Danio rerio: one gene and its partner. The protein of the gene in region 2 interacts with the protein of the main gene of each other region in a pairwise test. Links are inferred from orthologs where the notes say so. Each region holds a gene or a part of one and is shown on either strand. Other genes may lie near its edges.

Region 1 (4,346 bases), on a different chromosome or scaffold from region 2:
GTCATGCATTTGCTCGGGGCGTGGGAAATTAAATACAAATCTATGTCATATCGCAGCCTCTTGTGATAAGCTAATCGCAACATTTCAAATTGTGATTCGATTTATCGCACAGTCCTACTGTATGCAGTTACAAAAAGGCCTGTTTTCTTTAAAAATCAACCATCTTCAATGCCTAATTGATATACGATATAAGCGGGTCTCAGATTGTACAAGAAACACTACATTAATTTACATTTCCCCCGTCGTGTCTTTATAATATGAGCATTTATTTTACCCCAGTATGTTAAATGGAGCTTCTGCGCTAGCCTGCTGATTCTGACGTGTGCGAGTAAACAACTTTTGATCTCGTTTTGCGCTTGATCAACTAAATAAATGCTTGGGTCTATTTAACTGATTGTATTTTATTTGCAGTACAACATAGATGCTGTAAAAGGAATGGAAATAAGTAGGGGTGTCACGATTTCGATTCTTAATCGAAATCGATCGAAATTTATGCTCAATTTCGATTATCGAATTACAAAATAGAATCGTCGATGCTGCCACGCCCCGATGTCACGTCAGCTTGGCTTGCCAAGCGGGAAAAAAACAGGCTTGTTGAAGTGCTTGTTAAACTGCAGAAGCAGGAGACCCGTCGACAGAGCTTAAACCCTCTCCTCTTTCAATGAAGTCGCCGGTGTTTAAGCATTTTGGATTTCCAGTGAGTTATGTTGACAACGTTCGTGTTGTCGACAAAAAAAAAAAACACAGTTTTGCAAGCTCTGCTATATACGTATTACGTATGGTTCGTCCGATAGACAACACCAGCATCGCGATCCTCCGCCCGCCCCCGTTGCAAATCCGCTCGCGAAAAGTTCACACTCAGGCCCTGTTTACACTGTCTTTGTTTTTAAATGGCATTTTAGAACAACAACGATTTGACATCCACAGTGGCGTGTAGCATTTCTGAGCAGCCCTCCTTCCTCATTACCTCTGAAAACGCACATCACGTGACCACACAGACACAGATGCACACACAGCCATGCGCTCGAGACAGCAGGTCCAGGCAGTCAGAGGACTGCTTCAATCTTTCACTCACTTGTACTTTGTCATTTTAGCGAACACCTCAGACACTGTTGGCTGGTTCCTGTTGGTTGTGCGTCTTTTTTACAGACGCCATTATAATGACACAGATCACTGCCTATTCACGAGTCCCGCAGAAAAAGTGATTGACAGGAGGTAATTATGTGTGCATCTTGCCTTTATTCATTTACTGTATGATTTGTTTATGGGTAAAACAAAGACCATGCAGGTCAGGTAGTTTAAACGGTAGGCTACAAATAATTAATTGGTCATTAATTAATCATTCATAATCGAAAATCGAATCGTGCCTTTAGAATCTTTAGGATCGTGACACCCTTAGAAATAAGTCACATTAACTGTTCACCGGAAGTTTATCAGTATGGGAAGAAACACTATTGAATCAGTCAGGTATTTGTCGCCACCTACTGGTGGTTTTGGATCCATTGATCTAGATATAACATATTGGAAATGTCTGAATTTTATTTATTTGTTTGCTTGCTTTTGGTCAATATTCTAAACCTTTGGGATTAAATAATTTTTAACTGCACTAAAGAAAATGTTTTAAAGCGTGTTGCAAACTGGTAACTATTGACTTTCATAGTATTTGTTTTTCCTGGTTACAGGTTTTCAGCTTTATTCTAAATATCTTATTTTGTGCTGAAAGAAATATAAATTGTTTTGATTTGGAATAAATCAAAGTGCAGTAAATGATGACAATTTTAATTTCAGTGTGAACTGCCCCTTTAATTGAGTATTAGTATAATTAGGTATTGGTTTGATGTTTTTGATTGAGGCTTTTTTATGCACCAGAAATGGGTTTCCACAGATATTTGTTGTCATACACTATTTCATTCATTGGGTGTACAAGCACCGTGATAAGAGTAAAAAAAACAGTTGTTGAAGTCTCACTCTTTGGCCTTGAGCTCGGGCAGATCCAGAAACCAGTGTTCATCACTGATGATCCGCTTCTCCTCCTCATCCAGCTGCTTCTTCACCTCCGCATCCAATCCTCTCTGCATGAACTACAGACAGACAGATGAGAAGATGGACAGACAGATGGAAAAAAGATGCAGACACCAAATGACAAGCAGATGGACGCAGACAAAAACAGATTATCAGACAGATGAAAAACAGATTAAAAGATAGACAGACAGATAAACAGAAGAAAGACGTTGACATAAAATGACACATGGAGGTAGATAAAAATGATGGGCAGACAGAAAGACAAGAACAGACCAAATGACAAGACAGATGGAAGAAAAGATGGACAGAAAGAGAGACAGATAAAAAAAATAAGATGGAAATAGAGATTTATTGAAAGACCAAAGGACGAGGTAAACAAACATGAAAAGTAAGACAACAAGGCAGATGGTAAGACAGACAAGTATAAAGACAGAGGGATGAAAAAAATGGACAGAACGAATGGGATATACAATATGGCGGATAAAATAATGGACAGAGACACAGATGAACAGACACACACAGAGACAGACTGTTGTCTATCAGTCACGTGTTCTGCAGCGAGTGATCTACAGCATTCAGTTCATATCAAAACAAAACCGACCTCAAACACGAGGACATTTTAGTACGATCCCAATCACGAGCTCATCATATTCCTCCGACACTGGGAGAGTCGGCTAACATTATTTACCTTCATCCGCAGGAGGTTTTTAGACAGCTTCGCTCCACCATCGTTCGCCATTTCAAATCAGAACTAACACTACACGTTTTTAAGTGAATGAAGAGAGATAAAGCGAGCTTTTCTGACAGTTATGTCTTCCACACTGGCAGCATTACTGTGCGTAGCACGAGCTGCTAAAATAAATAGCAGTCCGCATGAACTCTGCGCATGCGCTCTAGCAACATGTGCAAGACTCGACGAGTCGCACAACACACATCCACTGACAATAATTTCAGATTTATTACTTATGTTTGAAGTATAATCGCATAATAAAGCGTTTAAGTTAATGTTAGTCTGTATTATATGGTATCGTTTACTTTAATTTGATTTGCTATATACAATTTTGTCGAATGTATCGACAATTTATTGCTTTCGTCTGAAGTGGCGCATTAACCCTTTCCTGTATGGTTAAATTTACCTAATTAAACACGCCAGTTCGTCTTCAATCACTGAAAGGAGTCATTACTGAGGTGAGTTTTTACTTTACTGTGTACAAACTTCGCTTGTTACAGTTCATTACTGGCAAATAACAACTGTAAACGACTTAAAAGTTGCTATTTATTTTCTTACTGAGGATTTTTGTAAATACAGACATTAGTTATAGCATTAAGTTGTTTTATTCATATTTATTGTCGTGTAATAGCGTAACTAACAGTTATTTTCACCACATTATAGTCAAATATTGGGTTAATATATGTTTGTTCTAAAATAATTTAATATATATTATAATATTATATATTTTAAGGCCCCTTTAAGCACATTTGTATTACTTTAGCTGAACTAAAGCACTGTTTTATATTTATTTCACGTTTTTAAATTCAACTGTGTGCTTTAAAACACTTTGCAGTGCAATTTAATTAGCTTGAAATACAAATGTGGTAATTATATGGTGTATACTGTATATTCAAGCGTCATAATTACCACTTTTATTTAACGTTTTAGCTAACACTCAGTTGAGTACAATCAAACAATATTTCAAGGTTCATTTGAATCTCAGCATATGATGATTGGGTAGCCTCACAGCAAGAAGGTCGTTGGTTCGAGTCCCGGGTCAGTTGGCGTTTCTGTGTGGAGTTTGCATGTTCTCCCCGTGTTGGCGTGTGTTTCCTGTGGGTGCTCCGGTTTACCCCACACTCCAAACATGCAGGAATTGGGGAATTGGGTAAGCTAAATTGGCTGCAGTGTATAAGTGTGAAAGAGTGTGTATGAATGTTTTCCAGTGTTGGGTTGCAGCTGGAAGGGCATCCACTGCGTAAAATATATGCTTGATAAGTTGGCGGTTCATTCAGCTGTGGTGACCCCTGATTAATAAAAGGACTAAGCCGAAAAGTCAATGATTGAAGGTAAAGTCAAGTTTCTTGGTGTTTCTTTCAGTGTTTCCTTTACATAAATTCAAGAAATCAATGGTTCTCGAGGTAAGTTATTAAAGAATTTAGATTTGTGTACATTTTGACAACAAAATAATTAAATAAATGCAGTGAAACTCGCCTCATAATCATTTTAGTCACACAAAAAAATCATACAAACTCTTGCACCACCAGTTCTTTAAGAGACATCTGTGTCTCTTTCCCACATGGAGAGTCATTAACTCTGATCAGCTCGTCCT
Region 2 (3,568 bases):
AAGACATTGGCTTTTACAGAGTTAGCTTAGCAAAGTCTACAGCAAACAAAGTTTGGGGATTACAAAAAATACTTCTGGTTTAATGAGATCTTAAACCCTTTAGGTTACACACACCCCGTGCAGTGAAGGGGCATGGCCAGAGGTGTTGTAATGTTATAGCGGAGAAAGCTAAAATGCTGTCCAAACACTGTTATTTCCGCAAAGCTTGTTCTGTTTCTGTGTTTAGGCTTCTAAATGACATGACACAAAGAGAGAAGTGCTTACAGTTTAATTTTAATCATGTTCCAGAGAATCATAAAAAATATATAGCTAGCATTTGACAAAGGACAGCTTCAAGAATCTCTCCCAGTTCAGTGATGGATTCGGCTTAAAACTCCTTAAAGAAACAGCTCCAGCCATAATAGCAAAAGCTATGGACTGAGCCAAAACCTGTGTTTTTATTTGTTAAAATTAATCTATTACATGCACAGTTTCTAGCGTAAACAGTACAATGTAGCAATAACATAAACAAGGATGTAAACTACGGAAAATGCTGATTGGCACTACTAACAATTTAGCTACAAATTCATATTTATCCATCAAACCGCTGTAAACACCCACAAACTTCAGCTGCGCTGCAGGGTCTCTCTATGCGGCCGCTTTCCGTGCATACTACATCTCACGAGATATGTGAACATTTCATATTACTTAAACATTCACATAATCTGAATATATATATGAAAGACAGTTTTCAGGTTTTATTTTGGAGCAGGGATGGGGTTCAGCTGTATCCTCCTGTCTGATATGGCTTACAGCTACACTGACTGACAGCATTTACACAGCACATTATGTAAGATGACCAATCAGAGCCTCTTGTGGAGAAACTATTAATATGATAGTCGTTTTCATGTTAGCAGAGTAGCAGTATATATTTTAAGTAAGATACACGAAAAAAAATTATGTGATTATCTACAAAGGAAACATGAGCACACATTGCTTTGCATCTTATGAACACAACCAAGGCTTAAATTACACTCTGGACCACTCCTTTAAGACATAATATGCCAAAATTAAGTGAACTGTTCCTTATAACAAGCAAAATAATCTGCCTATATGGGTAGCAGAAAAAAATATTATTTCAAAGCAAAAACAAAATGATTTAGCTTACGCCATTGGTGGATTCATTTGCCTGGTTTTAAGGAAAACTCACTTGATTTTGGCATAATATTTCTTAAAAATGATATAATATATGTTCTGTTTGTCTAGAAAATGCTTCTTAATTTTAAGACTTTTTAGATATTTGGACTAAAAATAGACAAAAACAGTTTTTTGCAGTGTTAAAAGAACATAAATGTCAGGGGAGAAAAGCTGAATAAGGCTTTGACCTGGACTTCAGGTTTACACTTCAGATTCTCTGGCATGACCAGATGGTCCAATTCATACTGATATGGGTGGGAAAACCTGGAAAACAGCATTACAACTAATTTATTACAAAGAAGAACAAAATTAGCACTGATGCAAGGTAAGTAACAGAGGCATTGAATAAATCCCTTAAACGCATCTTACATGTCGTCCACGTGCTCTTTTGTCCTCTGCTGATGAATAAAATCTGCCAGAGCAGCAGGGACATCTAGATCCTCCGGCCTCTCCTTGCGAATGTGCTTGTCGGCAAAATCTGGTCACACATTTGGTTAGAGTTTAGTGTTTGCTTTATTATTTTTAATATACATTACTTTTTATTTTTATAGTTTTCCCTAGGGGTGTGCGATATTTATCATCCAAAACAACATTGCAATGGTTGTTTAAAGAATGTGTAAGCTTACATTAGCTAGGTTTCCATCCAAATAAATTTGCTAATAAAACACTATTTCAATTGAGTGAGACAGAGTGAAATGCATTTTTTTCTATAAAATAAATTAATTGTGCCTCAAGACAAAGACAAAACATAATGAACTAATAATACCAATAGACTTAGATGACAGACTTTGGCTGAGGGATTTTAGAATGACCAAAACAACATTTTAGATGATTTAAAATGTGGTCAAATCTGCTGGTTTATCATCACACTTATTTAAATATAATTAAAATAACTTTAAAGATAAATTTATTTTGTAAATGCATTTCCGTCTTTTTAAAGACTTAAAAAATGTATCCTACCAATATACCAAAATGAGCATAAAACAGGTGGATGAAAGAGAGTATTTACTGCCTTTTAAAAAAAATATTAAAAACAAATCTTGAGAGATCAAAATTACTGAATGAGTGATGTTTAAGCAAGTAAGCCGGGGCGCCGCTGACCAGTACGGGCCCTATGACAACATTCTGGTGGGCACTGTAGTGTACGAAAGTGAATAGCAGGTGGTGGGGGTAATAGAGGGAGTAGGGGTTGTAATAGTAACTCTGGGAGCCCCAAAACAGCTAACTTTTCCCCCCTAGCGGCACCCATGAAACTGTATTCAAAAATGAAATATTGATTTTTTTTTTTTTTTTAAACAATTGAACAAACAACCAAGTTAACATTAAGTTACCATTTTCTTTAGTGAATAAATAGTAACTAAAGAGATAGAGAAGAGCATTTGTTCATCTCAGAAAACACTTCTGTTTTGTTTATGAATTAATCAATTTTTTAACAAATAAGAGCTTGATTAGCTTGTCTAGGTGTGTCTAATGGGCTATATGCACTCAGACTTTTAATTTTCAGCCAGGCAGCCCAAGGGCTTCTAGTGAACTGTCTTTCCTTTAATAAATTGTCACATCTAAGATCTGATTTCTTTAAAAATCAGCAATCTTCACTGCCTGTTAAAAATGCGATATGAAATGGGTCTCAGATTGGACAAGAGGCACTGCATTAAAGGGTCACGAAACAACAAAACATTTTTTTGAGCTGTTGACAGTCGTATATGTGTCCCACACTACTAAAAACACTATTAGGACAAATATTTCACTAAAAAGTGAAAATAGGTTGTTTTAGCGTTATTTCGAGCAAATTCGTTCTTCCAGTTTGAAACCAATTTTTGAAGCCGTGTCACGGCTATGAGATTTTAGCGTGTATTCCAGCGTGTAGACTGGACGTCTGTACCTGAGAGTGCCTTATTACGTCTCGGAGTGTGCTGCATTCATTCATGAGTAAGACTTGGTTTAAACCAATCAGCGCGCTCTATTGTGTATGCGGTGCAACCTCAGTAATATGCATGGTAGCTTTGAAGACTGTTTGTACCTGTACAGTGTTCAGACGGCAGAGAGACGCCACGTTGTGTTGCCAAGTGGGAGAACAAGAAATGTTTGGATACGAGTCATCAGTATTGTGTTTATAATTTGCTGCAGTGAAGGTTTTGTTTTTATTTTCCCTCTATGAGAGCGCAGCTGGACTCACGTGTGGATTACAGTGCACACAAAGCGCAACAGAAATACGCGTCTAAGGAACATTGTTTACAGTGTGAACAGTGTTTAAAGACAGACCTTAGTCAAATGATTTCTAAGTTAATAAAGTTTACCGTACGCTAATATCACTACAATACTATGGACTGAAAAATCTGCTGTAAATGCTGCTCTCCGAGTGTAAACATGTAAGAACCACAATCAAACTTAC

Evidence for each region.
Region 1: the proteins of exosc10 (region 2) and mphosph6 interact in binary tests that used the Homo sapiens proteins (3 or more experiments, as listed by UniProt). The link is inferred for Danio rerio from reciprocal best matches to the Homo sapiens genes EXOSC10 and MPHOSPH6.

What each region holds. Positions count from the first base shown.
Region 1 is NC_133200.1:38,541,739-38,546,084, forward strand, and holds the start of mphosph6 (M-phase phosphoprotein 6), read right to left. Parts: upstream 2,855-4,346; 5' UTR 2,762-2,854; coding exon 2,711-2,761; intron 2,082-2,710; coding exon 1,969-2,081; exon of another isoform or gene 731-1,968; intron 1-730. Other genes in the region: snx20 (sorting nexin-20), read right to left, coding at 4,258-4,346. UniProt on the Homo sapiens protein: RNA-binding protein that associates with the RNA exosome complex. Involved in the 3'-processing of the 7S pre-RNA to the mature 5.8S rRNA and play a role in recruiting the RNA exosome complex to pre-rRNA; this function may include C1D.
Region 2 is NC_133198.1:16,320,193-16,323,760, reverse strand, and holds part of exosc10 (exosome complex component 10), read right to left. Parts: intron 1,655-3,568; coding exon 1,546-1,654; intron 1,441-1,545; coding exon 1,365-1,440; intron 1-1,364. UniProt on the Homo sapiens protein: Catalytic component of the RNA exosome complex which has 3'->5' exoribonuclease activity and participates in a multitude of cellular RNA processing and degradation events.